Linked DNA regions of Ovis aries. The protein of the gene in region 1 purifies or fractionates together with the protein of each later gene. This does not show direct contact. Links are inferred from orthologs where the notes say so. Each region holds a gene or a part of one and is shown in the gene's direction. Other genes may lie near its edges.

What was found.
Region 2: the proteins of PPP2R1A (region 1) and MTCL1 purify together in Homo sapiens (co-immunoprecipitation; 3 studies listed by BioGRID and IntAct, with this or other methods). This does not show direct contact. The link is inferred for Ovis aries from reciprocal best matches to the Homo sapiens genes PPP2R1A and MTCL1.

Annotation. Positions count from the first base shown.
Region 1 is NC_056067.1:58,165,929-58,173,075, forward strand, and holds part of PPP2R1A (serine/threonine-protein phosphatase 2A 65 kDa regulatory subunit A alpha isoform), read left to right. Parts: intron 1-2,174; coding exon 2,175-2,407; intron 2,408-3,353; coding exon 3,354-3,501; intron 3,502-3,619; coding exon 3,620-3,775; intron 3,776-5,435; coding exon 5,436-5,550; intron 5,551-5,675; coding exon 5,676-5,746; intron 5,747-6,187; coding exon 6,188-6,322; intron 6,323-7,147. UniProt on the Homo sapiens protein: The PR65 subunit of protein phosphatase 2A serves as a scaffolding molecule to coordinate the assembly of the catalytic subunit and a variable regulatory B subunit.
Region 2 is NC_056076.1:41,699,352-41,706,498, forward strand, and holds part of MTCL1 (microtubule cross-linking factor 1), read left to right. Parts: intron 1-2,696; coding exon 2,697-3,872; intron 3,873-4,855; coding exon 4,856-5,011; intron 5,012-7,147. UniProt on the Homo sapiens protein: Microtubule-associated factor involved in the late phase of epithelial polarization and microtubule dynamics regulation.

The DNA of each region.
Region 1 (7,147 bases):
GGGTGATGGTAGAGGTTAGAGATGGTCAGATACTGAGAGTAACTGCTGTTTGGGAGAAGGGAAGGGAGGAGGCGCTCCAGTCCTGTGGCCTGGGTTTAAAGAACCTTGGAGGTTGCTCGGTTTTTGCTGTTCCTCAGAACCACCCTGTAATTCTGTCTTTCGTGATCCCTGAAGACACAGCTTCATATTTTGGCATCTGCTCTTGATGGCGTTTTGTAGTTACTCTGCAGGCTTTCTTTTAGTCTGCCGCATTTTTAATGAGATTGTAAAAAATTTGTTCTCGATTTTTAAATTTTTTTTCATGCTGAGTTAGTAGTAATTAGTGACCATTATTAGGAATTAATAGTACCATTATTAGGAATAATGGTGATAAATAGTTACTATTATTAAGAAGCAGTGATTGTTTTCACCACTCTTTTCCCATGACATTAAGTACATGCATACTGTGGTGCAGCCATCGCTACTGTTCATCTCCAGAACTTTCCATCTTCCCCAAAGAAACTGTACTCATCAAGCAGTAGCTCCCGAGCTCCTCGCACCCACCCCCAGCCACCTTTCCACTGGCTGTCTCTCTGAGTCTGCCTACAGACACACCTCAGAAATTGTGGGTTTAGTTCCACACTACCATAATAAAGAAAGTGAATGTTGCAATAAAATGAGTCACGTGAATTTTTTTGTTCCCTAGTGCATATAAAGGTTATGATTACACTTTACTGTTGTCTATTAAATGTGCAGTAACGTTCTGTCAAAAAAAAAGATACATATCTTAGTTAAAAAATACTTTCTCACCAAAAAACACTAACCATCATCTAAGCCTTCAGCAGTGGCAGTCTTTTTGTAGTAGTAACATCAAAGATCACTGATCACAGATCATCATAATAAATACATTAATAATGAAAATGTTTGAAGTATTTTGAGAATTATTGAAGTGTGACACAGACTCAAAGTGAGCAAATGCTGTTGGAAAAGTTGATGTTGATAGGCTTGATGGATGCAAGGTTGCCACACACCTTCAGTTTGTAAAACGTGGCACCTCACGTAAGGAAGCATACATTATGTAGTCTTTTGTGAAAGCCTTATTGCATTTAGTATAACGTCTTCAAGGAGTTCATCCACATTGAAGCTTGTGTCAAATGAGATTTCTTTTTCACATGTGAGAGCCTGGCCCTTTTGGCTGCTTTTGGAAACCCCGAGATTTGCTTTCCCCGGCCATGTCCCCCTGGGACAGTTGGCGGAGCTGGAAGCTGGAAGCAGCTCTGCTCCCTGGATTGGACGCCCTCCAGCCAGTCTCCGCCCCTGCTGTGCCCGCCTGTCACCTTTGCCCGTTGCTGCAGTCAGTCACCTGCCTGCGTCCTGGAGACATCTCCAGTTATTTCTTTCTGCTTTCTGTCCCTGTCAGGCAGGTTGGACTTCAGACCACAAGTCTCCACCCACATGTTTATTTGAACAGATTAGGATAAAAATTGAGTCTCCCTTCTTTAAGTGAGTAATTCCTGCATTCCTGCTCTGTGCTAGGAGGTCTGCTGGGCTCCAGGTGACCCCATGGTCAGCCAGTCACATGTCCCTAAAGGAACACGATCACTCCAGGCCTCGCAGTAACAAGAGTCTCGAGCCCCAGGTTCCCCAGTATCGTGAGATCCTGGTGTGGTTGCCTGTCCACACAGCTCTGCCCTTCAGCCCTTTGGAGGTTCTGGAGCCAGCTGGCCCGGTTTAGATCCTAGCTTGTCCCTTACATCTCGGGCAAGTTACTTAGCCTGGCTGTGCCTCAGTTTCCTGTTAGTTTAGAATGGAGACAGTAACAGGACCTGCTTCATAGGACTCAGGTGAGATAGAACCAGCACCGCTGGAGCTGTGGCCCTGCTGTGAACATGTAGTAAATAGACACTGCCGTCAACATGAGTCATTATTACTGCAGTTGGAGATGCCAGGGACAGCTGTGGCCCTCTCAGAAGGTGACATGTATAGCTTGGGGGTTTGTACACCCCACTGAAGCACCTTCAAGGACCTGTGCGTGAGGTTCTCTGTTGTGATTCTTCAGGGAGGAGACATAGGGTGCACGCGGGCCTCTGGTCATCAGGGAAAGCCTGTCGGAGGAGCTGAGTCCCTGAAGGGGTGCAGCCGGGAGCTCGGGGGGGCTGGGGGGGAGCTGTGCACTGACCTGTTCTGCCCCACAGCCGCCCTTGGAGTCGCTGGCCACGGTGGAGGAGACGGTGGTGCGGGATAAGGCAGTGGAGTCCCTGCGGGCCATCTCGCACGAGCACTCCCCCTCCGACCTCGAGGCCCACTTTGTGCCCCTGGTGAAGCGGCTGGCGGGCGGCGACTGGTTCACCTCCCGCACCTCAGCCTGCGGCCTCTTCTCCGTCTGCTACCCCCGCGTGTCCAGTGCCGTCAAGGCGGAGCTTCGACAGTGAGTCCCCCGGCTGCTGGGCCCTGGCGAGACCCCACCTCCCGCTTCTGTTTGGTCCCCTTCTCTCAAGCCTCAGGCTCTGTTAGGCCCATCCAGCTCCCAGAAGCCCCTGAGCTCTGCCAGCCCTCAGAGAGCTGGTGTGTGGATGCGGCAGGGTGTCAGTCCAGGCACTGCCTCCTGCTCATTTAGGAAATGGAGACAATGATGGTTCTTCCTCCCATTGGTTATTTAAGTGAATTACTGTGTATAAAACGCTTAGGAAAGACTGGTACATGGCAGGTGCCCAGCCAGTGACGTGCGGTGCAGTCGTAGGCCTGTCTCGGTGTGGCAGATGGGAGGCTGCCGCCTCCACCACCTCCCTCCCTCTTGGCTGAACCCCAGGAAATTGCTTGCACTTGAGATTTGGCCTGTGGAAGAACCAGTATTTTTAATTGGATTAAAATCTCCCATTAATGTGTGTTTCCTCCTCTCCTGGGGTCCTGTCCTTCCTCCATTGTCCTGAACCGTGGGCAGCACGCCCAGCCCCTGAGCCATCACTCCGGCCAGGACAGCAGCATGCAGCTGCTCGCAGGCGCTTGGAGGGCTGTTCTGGGCCCCTTGCGTTTCTTTAACTGGAAGCAGTCGGTGCTGGAAAGGAAACGCTCTGAGAAGCTTCAGTGCAGCCTCTTAGCTAAGCAGTTTTATGTGGTCACAGTTATAGATAGAATCAGCAGCTGCGGCTTGCTGTAGACCTGCGCACAGAGAGATGGCTGGGTGTCTCTCACACGGCGTCTTGTTTAAACCTCAGCGGCCCAGTGGGGTGGGTTCTGTTATCAGTTCCTTCGTGTAGGTCTGGGGAGACTCAGAGGCTCTCACTTGAATCAGGATCACTTGGGCAAAGCCAGGAGCTGCAGGGCTGCCTGGGATTCCAGGGTTTCCTCCTCCTGAGCCCCCTCTACCTGCCCAGGTACTTCCGGAACCTGTGCTCAGATGACACCCCCATGGTGCGGCGGGCCGCAGCCTCTAAGCTGGGGGAGTTCGCCAAGGTGCTGGAGCTGGACAACGTCAAGAGCGAGATCATCCCCATGTTCTCCAACCTGGCCTCTGACGAGCAGGTGGGGCCGCCTGCCCACCCCTCTCCTGCTTCTCCCCGCGGCGGACCCCGAGTCTGGGGAGTTGGCCCGGAGCTGATGGGGCTTCTGCTCCCCCTCCTTGTTCCCACCCTCTCCCCAGGACTCGGTGCGGCTGCTAGCGGTGGAGGCGTGCGTGAACATCGCCCAGCTCCTGCCCCAGGAGGACCTGGAGGCCCTGGTGATGCCCACCCTGCGCCAGGCTGCTGAGGACAAGTCCTGGCGCGTCCGTTACATGGTGGCCGACAAGTTCACGGAGGTGCGTGCAGGGGCTGTAGACAGCGTCTCACGGACGGGAAGATGGAGGCCTCAGGAAGGAGCGGGGCCACGTGGAGCCGGGGTTTAGTGAAGCCCAGTGGGTCATCCAGGCATCAAAGCAGGAAGCTCTCTTGTCATTTGGTTAGCTCACCTGACAACTCTGGTTGGTTGATAGCGGCAGCTTGAAGTGCTTCCTTGAGATTTCTGAGGCCAACTTAAGGTTCTGTGGGGGAACCACAGGAGCAGAGAAGGGTAGCATGTGTGTGTTCCCGACCTACGAACCTTATCTCCTTTCCCGGAGGCGTCTTTGCTCGGCCATAGGCGGCTTCCTTCTCCCTGCATGTTACCTGTGGGTTGTGTTCTCATCTCCTCTTCTTATAAGCGCTTTAGATGTTTTGGCTTAGAGCTCACCTTAATGACCGTATTTTAACCTGTTAGCTCTTTAAAGACCCTGTGGCCAAGTACAGTCACATTCTGAGGTACTGGAGTGGGGAGTTAGGGCGTCAGTGTATGAATTTCAGGGGATACAGTCGAGCCGCAAAACATGGCCCAAATGTTTGAATGGTCAGAGTGATGCTGTCAAGCAGGCAGAACAGATGCCGCATCTCTGAGGACAGTGCTTTTTCCATGGAGTCTCAATGGCTCATCGCACAGACATGTTTGTCGAGCTCCAGCTCGTGGCTGGGTGTTGGGGATCCAGTGAATTCAGCACATTCCTGGGCTTCAAGGAACAGGCAGCCTGAAGGGGGAAGGTCAGCTGAGACAGGGAATGCAGTGAGACAGCGCGACAGGCGCAGGGCTGGCCGGTGGGCGTGGAAGTGCCGAGATGAGGTGCTGCAGCAGCTTCTGGAGGACGAGAGAGGGCCGGGGCAGGAGCTGTCCCGTGTGTGCAGCGGGCCTGGGTGGTGAGCAGAGCACAGGCAAGAACGTCGGGCAGTGGCTCTCAGGGGAGAGGACGCTGGAGAGGCGGGCAGCAGGCTCCTCTCCTCGCAGTCAGGAACCACCCTGTTCCCCCAGGCCCTCACGAAGCAGCTTCACGGCAGAACCTGTGCATTCTCCTTGCCTGGCTTCCTGAGGGGGGGACCCTAACCTGTACTGTTTTATTTTAATTACAAAAGTAATATCGGTTCTGGTAAATAGTCATAACACAGAAATAATACAAATGAGAAAGTGGCAGTGATCATACATCGTTAGTCTTTTGGCATCAGGGACAGAAAACCCAACCCGAGTAACCTGAACAGTAAGGCAGTCTGTTGTTACTTTTAATGCAGACAGCGGCACTTTGCAGTAGGTACCCTCGGGGTTGAGGAAGCTGAGGCTCAGAGAGGTGCAGGCACTCATCCAGGGTCACACAGATGATAAGCAAGAGTAAGAACTTGAGCCAGGGAGTTGGACTCCAGGGCCACGCTTGTGACCACTGCCCTGCCCAGCCCCTCAGCACCATACACATGTCATCACTGCACAACAGGGAAACCGAGGCTCAGAGAGGCTCTGAGACCTGGCTGAGGTCGCCCCTGCGGCACCCGCGTTACATCTCAGCGGTGACGCCAAGGGCTGCTTTTGCCTCAGTCCTGGTGCCTGTAACTTTGATTTTGTTCTCATTCACCAAAGGTGCCCGGCAAGCCCTCTCACTCCCCCTGCCCTTCCTTCACTTCCTGCAGCTCCAGAAAGCGGTGGGGCCTGAGATCACCAAGACGGACCTGGTCCCTGCCTTCCAGAACCTGATGAAAGACTGTGAGGCCGAGGTGAGGGCCGCCGCCTCCCACAAGGTCAAAGGTTGGTGCTGGTGACCAGAACACAGCAAGCGGGCGTGTGGGTGGTGGGCTGGGTGTCCGAGGGACTGCAGGCAGAACGGGCACCTCGGGTCTCACCTCCCGTCACCTCCCTCTCGCTGCCCACAGAATTCTGTGAAAATCTCTCCGCCGACTGTCGGGAGAATGTGATCATGACCCAGATCTTGCCCTGCATCAAGGTAACAGGGAGTTTGGTGGGAGGAGTAGAGCATGCCTGAACCTTCTGGAAGGAAGGTGGAGATAGGGCGTGAGGGGCAGCCCGATGCAGACTGAGTTCCCAGCCTCCTCGGACCAGGCAGTGTTGGGTTTAGAGCAGTCAGGAAGCCTGAGGGCAGGCGGAATCTGAGGCTCGGGGCTGAGCGTGGTGGTGGGGTGCTTCCTCCTCAGAGCTCACAGCGTCTCCTCATCCACAGAGCTTCGAGTTTGGGGCAGAGGCTCCCGGGGAGGGGCAGGGGTCATTGAACTCCAGGCACGCCGAATGTGTAAGGCAGGCGCTCCAGTTCCCCTCGTGCACTCAGCCTGGATCGAGAGGACAAAAGCAGGCAGTGTCTCAGGGTTCGTAGGACTTGAGTTTCCGCAGCCACTGACCCTGTGGCTCCCATCCTCCTTCTACCTCCCAGGAGCTGGTGTCTGACGCCAACCAGCACGTCAAGTCGGCGCTGGCCTCCGTCATCATGGGCCTGTCCCCGATCCTGGGCAAAGACAGCACCATCGAGCACCTCCTGCCCCTCTTCCTGGCCCAGCTGAAGGACGAGGTGCGGGCGCTGTGGGGCTCTGCGCGCTGACTGTGGTGGGCGGGGAAGCTGCTCCCCAGGGTCGCCAGCACCTGTGGCAAACGCCCAGGTTGCCAGGGAGTTGAGTGTCTGTGGGCCTGATGGGCTGCACGTTAGCTCATTCGCTTGTTTGGCGTTTGTTTCATGTGCCTTTATTCTGTACGAGTCTTTTTCCTGGGCATTAGGGATACTGAGAAAAAAAGGAACAAGATCCTTTTGATCCTCCAGGACCTGCAGAGACTGGCAGTGGAGAGGGACAGATGGGCGGTCCCTTGACTCCCTGATCATACAGGTGCTGTGACAGGTTCATGTCTATCCAAGTTCAGGCTAAGGTGCTTACTAGAGACCCTGAAGTGCTGTGGATTAAATAAGGTGGAGAATGGTTTCTCTCACAGGAATCCAGGGGCAGAGGGGACCTACACTGAGGGCGTTGTTCTGGCTGACCCCAGCACCCTGTGGGTCTGAGGTGGCTGCCCTGATTTGTTCCGTCTCAGCTGGCGTGAAGGGAGAGGGCACCGACCAGCAGCAGGCCAGTCCTCTCAGTCAAACCCCAGAGAGGGTGCCCATCCTGTCTGCTGATGGCTGACCTTAGGTTACAGGTCTCTTGATGCCACATGGCCCAAGGGCCTCACCATAAGTCACAATGTTAGCATGATCTTTTTGACATGGCCCAGGGCCCTTTTTTATTTCAGATACTGAGAGATCATCTCCCAGAAGCTGGTGGGGGGCCAGTCCTCTGTTTGGAATGTGCCAAGTTTGAACAGCCTAGTGCGGTCCAGTTAATAACCCTTTACTGCACACTTGATT
Region 2 (7,147 bases), on another chromosome or scaffold:
GACAGCCTGAGACGCCCTGACCCTGGTTTGAGACAGAAGCGTCCTAAACTGTGCAGGGGGCTCTGCCCTCGGCCGCTCACCAGTCGTGAGTCTCCAGGGAGGGTGCATCAGGACACTGATCCCACCTGGGCCTCTGCCCAGGCTTGAGTGCCGGACTGAAGGTGGAATTCCCCTTGAACAGGTGACATTCCCCTCCACTGTCTCCACGGCTGTCCCCAGCACTGAAGTGAAATTCTGTGCTTAAGTTGGAGACAGGATGGTGTAGGTGATTCTAGACTCAGGACAGACACTAGCTACCAAGTTCATGATGGGGCTAAACATCTTTCTCTCCTGGACTTGTTACCCCTGAAGTGATTCATTTACAAAGTACTGACACTCTATCTCCACTGACACCTGTTTTAGTTTATTCAAACCCCTTCTTATGACAACAATGATCTCTCTATATTTGGACACATAGATTTCTTATAAATCTATATCCAAAAATTTAAAAAGATGCTTTTGATCTGCTTTCAAAAGTTCTAAGAACCTGGGTTGTTTAACATGCCAATTTCTGGTACCCAGTAGGTATTCAGTAGTTCCTGAAGGAATGAATGAATAACAAATAAGTAGGCTTTTCCCCTTAGTGTTAAGTTAGGATTAAATTCAGTCTGTGTTTTATGGCCCATGTATTCTGTGTAGGCCCTGTAAAATGTGCATCATTACCGCAGCAGTGATGGTAACCTATCTTGCTCCATTGCGTGGGGCTGTCGGCTTTATTTCTGGTTGTCACAGAACCCCTCGTTATGTCCACCTTTGTTCAGTTGCTAAGTTGTGTCTGACTCTTTGCGACCCCATGGATTGCAGCACACCAGGCTTCCCTGTCCTTTTCCATCTCCTGGAATTTGCTCAAACTCATATCCATTAAGTCAGTGATGCCATCCAACCATCTCATCCTCTGTGGTCCCCTTTCCCTCCTGCCTTCAATCTTTCCCAGCATCAGAGTCTTTTCCAATGAGTCAGCCCTTCGCATTAGGTAGCCAAAATATTGGAGTTTCAGCTTCAGCATCAGTCCTTCCAATGAATATTCAAAGTTGATTTCCTTTAGGATTGATTGGTTTGATCTCCCTGCAGTCCAAGAGACTCTCGAGAGTCTTCTCCAGCACCATACTTCGAAAGCATCAATTCTTTGGTGTTCAGCCTAACCAAAACCAAACCAGACCCTTGATGTGATAAGTTCTAGATCATGAAGACTGTGCCCTCCTCCCAGTGACATTTATATATCACTTTCCTGATATGCAGAGAGGAAGAAAAAAAGTTACTTGCTCCTTTCCCCCAAATTCATTGAGTTTCAGACAAAGCAGAAAGTTGGCTTCAGGTCTAGTGGTGGGAGGAGGCAAGGTAGGGGCTCCCAGGGAGGTCTTTCTGCCCAGTGGTGAGTGTGCAGCAGGACCAGTGGAGAATGAACCATGTTCTCTTGCTGACCCGTCTGCACAAGTGACCAGCTGGAAGAGCTCCCCCCCAACCCCAGGGTTGACTTGCTGGTTTGATGACTCTTCCTCCCCTGGTGATGGGATGTGACCACCAAATAAGGAGGGAGACTTTGTCCAAGTCTTGGTTCCCAGGACAACCTTTTGGAACTTGATAGCCAATCACAGAGGAACGAGTCATGACACTGGTCACTGTTGCCAGCCGCCCAGTTGTCATTTATGAAGCCGTAGCGTGAGCCCAGATCCAGAATTGATGCAGTTCCAGGGTGTGGAGACCCCATGGGGAAGGCAAGGGTCACTCTAGTTGGTCCTGAAAGGGCCTTCTGGACCTCAGTTGAGCAGTGCAGGGTTTTAGCAGACAGCCTGCTCCCGTGACCCTCCAGAGTCCTCTGGCTACCCGAGGAGCCCTACTTTTTAGATTTCAAACCACTTAACACCCTGCCTTGGGTTTCTGGGATTAATTTCCTGCTGTCATAGCCACTAAAAGGTGCTGAAGTCGAGTTTGCATGGAGAGAGGGTATGAGTCACTCGGGCCTTCAGTTTACAGTATCCATCTCATACTAACCGCCAGAGCTGGGTGCTTACTCTGCAGCTTAGCATCCAGAGGCCCTCATGCCCATCATCTTGAGTCATCTTCATGTCATCCCTGGGATGAGTTGGGGGAGGACGATGGGGGGAGGGGTTGCCTTGTCTTAGGTTCTCAGCAGATTTGTGGAAAGCCAGGCTGATTTGGGGTCACCTGGCCTCCCCATCCCATTAGTACCTATGAAGTGCTGGCAGCCCCTCTGTTGAGGGAGGAGGTAAGTGGCAACAGGTAGAAGTTGGCACAAAGGCCTGTCCATCTGCCCCAGGCTAAGCTAGGGGCCTGGGGTGTCTCACAGGTCAGGATGGACCCAGAGAGGCGGGGTGAGTCGCCACATTGCTGGCGGTGCTGGGCTTCATTTCCTCACTCCTCTCCATCTCCTGGGTGATGGTTTTCATGTGCACCTTTGCCCAAACTACTTGTTTGCTGTCCTTTGTTCCTGTGACGGAGCAGGCCTTGGTGCCCCCGTGAAGGACCAGGCCCGCCCCGTCTCTGTCATGGCCCCTCTCGGTGGACCCCATGCACTGACGGGAAGAGTGGTGCTTCGTGTGTGGGGTGTGTGAGGGGTGAGGTGCGGGGAAAATTGTCAAAAACAGGCAGGTGTGGTATTTTCAAATAACCCTGGTCTGGGCTCTCTCTGCGGGCAGGATGACAGCGCGGATCTGAGGTGCCAGCTCCAGTTTGCCAAGGAGGAAGGCTCGCTGATGCTCAGGAAGATGGCCACGCTGGGGCGCGAGAAGGACCGGCTGGAGCAGGAGCTGCAGAGGTACAGGGCCCTCTATGGGGACGCCGACAGCCCCCTGCCCACGGGCGAGGCCGGCGGGCCGCCCAGCACCCGCGAGGCCGAGCTGAAGCTGCGGCTGAGGCTGGTGGAGGAAGAGGCCAGCATCTTGGGCCGGAAAATCGTGGAGCTGGAGGTGGAGAATCGGGGCCTCAAGGCTGAGATGGAAGACCTGCGCGGCCGGGAACCCCTAACCGGTGGGCCGACCTCGCCCTTTGGGGGGGACTCCCTGGAGTCCTCGGCCGAGCTGCGCCGGCACCTGCAGTTTGTGGAGGAGGAGGCGGAGCTGCTGCGGCGGTCCATCTCCGAGATCGAGGACCACAACCGGCAGCTGACCCACGAGCTGAGCAAGTTCAAGTTCGAGCCGCGGCCGGAGCCAGGCTGGCTGGCTGGGGGCGGGGCACCCCTGCAGGACGAGCTCCAGGCGGTGCGGCTGCCGATAAGCGAGCTGAGCGGGGAGGTGCTAACGCTGCAGCCGGGCCCGCGTGCCCCTAGCCCGCGGGACAGCGATGCTGACAGCGACACGGGCCGGAGGAGCGACGACGGCGAGGACGGCCGCGTGCAGCCCCGCCGGGAGGGCCCCATTGGCGGCGAGAGTGACTCGGAGGAGACCTTCGAGAAGACGTCCGGCTTCGGCAGTGGGAGGCCGTCGGAGGCCGGCGAGTGCCCGGCGGAGCTGCTGCGCGCGCGGGAGGACTCGGAGCGCCTGGCGAGCATCAGGCACGAGGCAGAGCGGCTGGAGCGCACGGTGGAGCGCATCATCACGGACACCGAGGCTGCGCTCCCGGGCGGAGAGGCCTCGCCCGGGGCCTGCGGCCAGGACACCAGGGAGGAGCCCCAGCTGCTGGGGACCCTCAACGCCAGGATGAAGGCCTTCAGGAAAGAGCTCCAGGCCTTTCTGGAGCAGGTGGAGCGGCTGGGGGAGGGCCTGTCCCCGCTGCCCCAGCTCACCGAGTCATCCAGCTTCCTGTCCTCTGTGACCTCCGTATCCCGGGACTCCCCAGTGGGGAACCTGGGCAAGGAGCTGGGCCCGGACCTGCAGGTAAGGGGGCTCCTGGCTCTGCCTCCCTGCTCCGTCCTGCTCCTCCTCCTTCTCGCTGGCCTTGCCGCGCTCCAACTCACCTTGCTCACGGCTGCTTGGTTATGATTGCAAACCTGCATTGTACTAAAGCCTCAAGTTTCAACCAAAGCCTTTCTGTTGGTTGGGTTTCTCTTTTTTTTTTTTTTTTTTTTGGTTTGGTTTGGTTTAGCTCTCTTTTGTTTCCTTGTTTCTTTCCCCCTTTCCCTTTTATTTTTAACCACGTCACTGCTCTTGGCTAAGAGGTCCTACCTCTTGACACGAGGCTAACCCACTGGCAGCACCAAGGATGGACGCATTCTGTCCCTTCTCCTTTTTTGGGCGTCCTCAATGACCAGCCATCTCGATGAAGAAGCAAAGAGAAGTTTGAAGCGCAGTGCAAGCGCTCTTCGAAGTCAGGATAATTAGCAGACTCCCCGGGAGCGGGTGCATTCGTGCCTGGGTTCACTGCCCCAGGGACAGTTCAGCCCACCGGCTCCCTCTGCGACACAGGTGGGGCAGGCAAGGAGCATGGTGGAGAGAAGGATGGCTTTGACAGCGCCCTGGAGCCGAGGGCGGCGAGTGGTGTGGCCCGGACGGCTCTCCGTGCACCGCCCTGGACTGTGGCGTGCGATGCCCGATGCCTGACTGCGGGCGAGTCTCACTCCCGCGTCCCCATCGCATGCGCCTCGTGACCAGCGGGTTGCATTCTCCCGTCTCTCTGTTTGCCTTTCAGATCTCTCAGCCTGCCGTTTTGCTGCTCCTCCTCCTGGCTCTGTTCTCTCCTCTCTCTGATGCCGCTGTGTTTGCGTTGGTTTCTCTGGTCATGCTTTTCCTCATCCCATAGATTTCCAGCTGTCTGTCTACCTTCCCCACCCCACCTCACCCTCTTGTCCTTTGTATTTTGTTTAAAATTGTGAGACAAGAACAAAAGCAAAAAAACCAAATCCCTCCCATGCACCTCACAGTCCAAACTGAGAGATCAGATGGAGTGGCAGCCGGGGCAGGAGCGAGGGGAGGAGCGGGGTCACCTCCATCTCCGCACCGCACGGGAGCTGCACCGCCGAGCCGATGGGGATGCCGGGAGCTGCCGGCCTGGAGCCCAGAGCTGCTTCAGCCTCGAGGTGAGCAGGGGTCCCCTTCACCTTCCCACTCCTCCTTTGCTATGTGTTTGTGTGACGGTTCCCAACTAGGTCCAAGGCCCCTAGGGAATATGATAGGGATATGGGGCATGTGAGATCAGGGGGGTACTTAACTAGAAACGAAGTGAAGCGACTGAGACTGATTCTTGAGGCTGTGTGGCTGCTTGTCAGGCAGTGAGGAAAGGAGGACTGAAAACCAAGAGTGTCCCACCTGTGTGTCTTGCCCCACCCCCACCTGCTCCTTTCTGGATGGTGCTCCAGACGTAGGACAGAACCGGGGATGCTCTTCTGACCTGGGGGCTCTTCCGCAGTCTCTGTTGCCATAGCAACCCATGTCCACAAATCTCACAGTCACCGTGGATAGTACTGCTTTTCCTCATCCCATAGTTTTCCAGCTGCCTGTCTACCTCCCCTACCCCACCTCACCCTCTTGTCCTTTGTATTTTGTTTAAAATTGTAAGATAAGATCAAAAGCAAAAAAACATATCCCTCCCATGCACCTCACAGTCCAAACCGAGAGGTCAGATGAGTGGCAGCCGGGACAGGAACGAGGGGGAGGAGCGGGGTCCTGTTGTAGGCCACAGTTGTCCTGTCAGCGCAGGCTCCTCCCTGTAGGTAATTCCACCAGGACAGAAGGTAGGTGGCCCCGAGGCAGGTGTCTGGCTCTGGTACCACCTGTTGAGGAAGTTGCTGCAGGGTTACAGCTGCATGTTCTGCATTAGGAAAGGTCAGGGTGTTTGCTTTCGGAAGCAAACAGAAGCTCACTTCTCAGAGTCAGGTGAGAAAGTCCCCTACGAGTGCTAGGTGCTGTGCGACATGAAGTATAGATAGTAATCAAGAACCAGAAGGAGTATGTCTTGCTGTTGAAGACTGCCTGGCAGGAAGGGGTGTCACAGCTCTAGTAGCTGGTACCAATTTTCTGTTTGTTCTGGTGTGATTTTATAACTGTCAATATATAGTAAAAATGGGCCAAAACTAGCCAATCAGACCACACCAAATGACAGCATGTGTAAGGCCAAAACCAGCCTGTCTGCGTCCTGTCCTACACACCGGTTACTTTGGCACAAAAACCCATGGCCAGAGGCCGGGCCACATTGCCAGTCTTCTCTTCCCCCAGAGGCCCTTTTGCTGGGTGGCCTGGTGCCCTCCTCCCTCTATACACCGTCTGGGGTGTCCTATCTAGAGAGAGGAAGACGCTTAGCTGAAACAGTGTCGTGGGAAAATAAACCTTCGTAAAAGGGCGAGTAGCCAAGTTAGATAGTGCTATGCCATGACTTTGGGTCACCGAACAATACAGCTCAGAAGGGATCTCCAGACAGACCCCCTCATTCTACAAGTGGGAAGAAAGCACGAGGCAGTGTCAGCAAATTCTCCCCCACCCCAGCTGACTGGCGGTAGAGCTACGTCGGAACTGCCTCCCTGGGCCTGGCCCGTCCTCTCCCCACCTCCACCCCTCCCGTGAGGAGTGCTACCTATTCAGCAGGGACTGGTCCCCACTGACCACTCCCCCCAGGCCTGGACATTCCAACAGGCGCTCCATCTCCTTGGGGAGCATTTCCAAACACAGATCACTCGGGTGACTAATCCTTGCCAACTATCTTGCCATGGAATGTTTCTTCTTTCAAGCATCTGTCTGGTTTCCTTTAATTTTATACCTTCTAATGAGACAGTAAAAAAATAAAAAACAACTCAGTAAAAGGCGAGGTCCAGGAGCATCATTTCCTAGAAGGGGAAACTGATTTACTCAGGAGTTAGACACACTTTATTCTGACTTTTTATTCACCAAGGCATTTCACACAGGAGAGAAAACTCATGTATGCAGACACAATTTTAAAATACTTTCTAAACGATGACACCCCTCTGGTTTCTGGCCCCTCTGACAGCTCCATAGTTTTTCCTTTCATGATGAGAGGAGCCCCATGTTGATCCCACGTAGGGTCTGGTTCTCCATGGAGTGGCTGTGTGTGTCCCTGGCATGGATGCCACCCTGACAGGCTGCTCAGCTTGGCCTTTGAATGTGATATTGGGTTAAAGGATCATACAGTGGACAGTTTTAGGGAGCAGAACCCTTTAGTGAAGACTTTGCTGAATTCATTGCCAACACTTGCTTTCCCATGA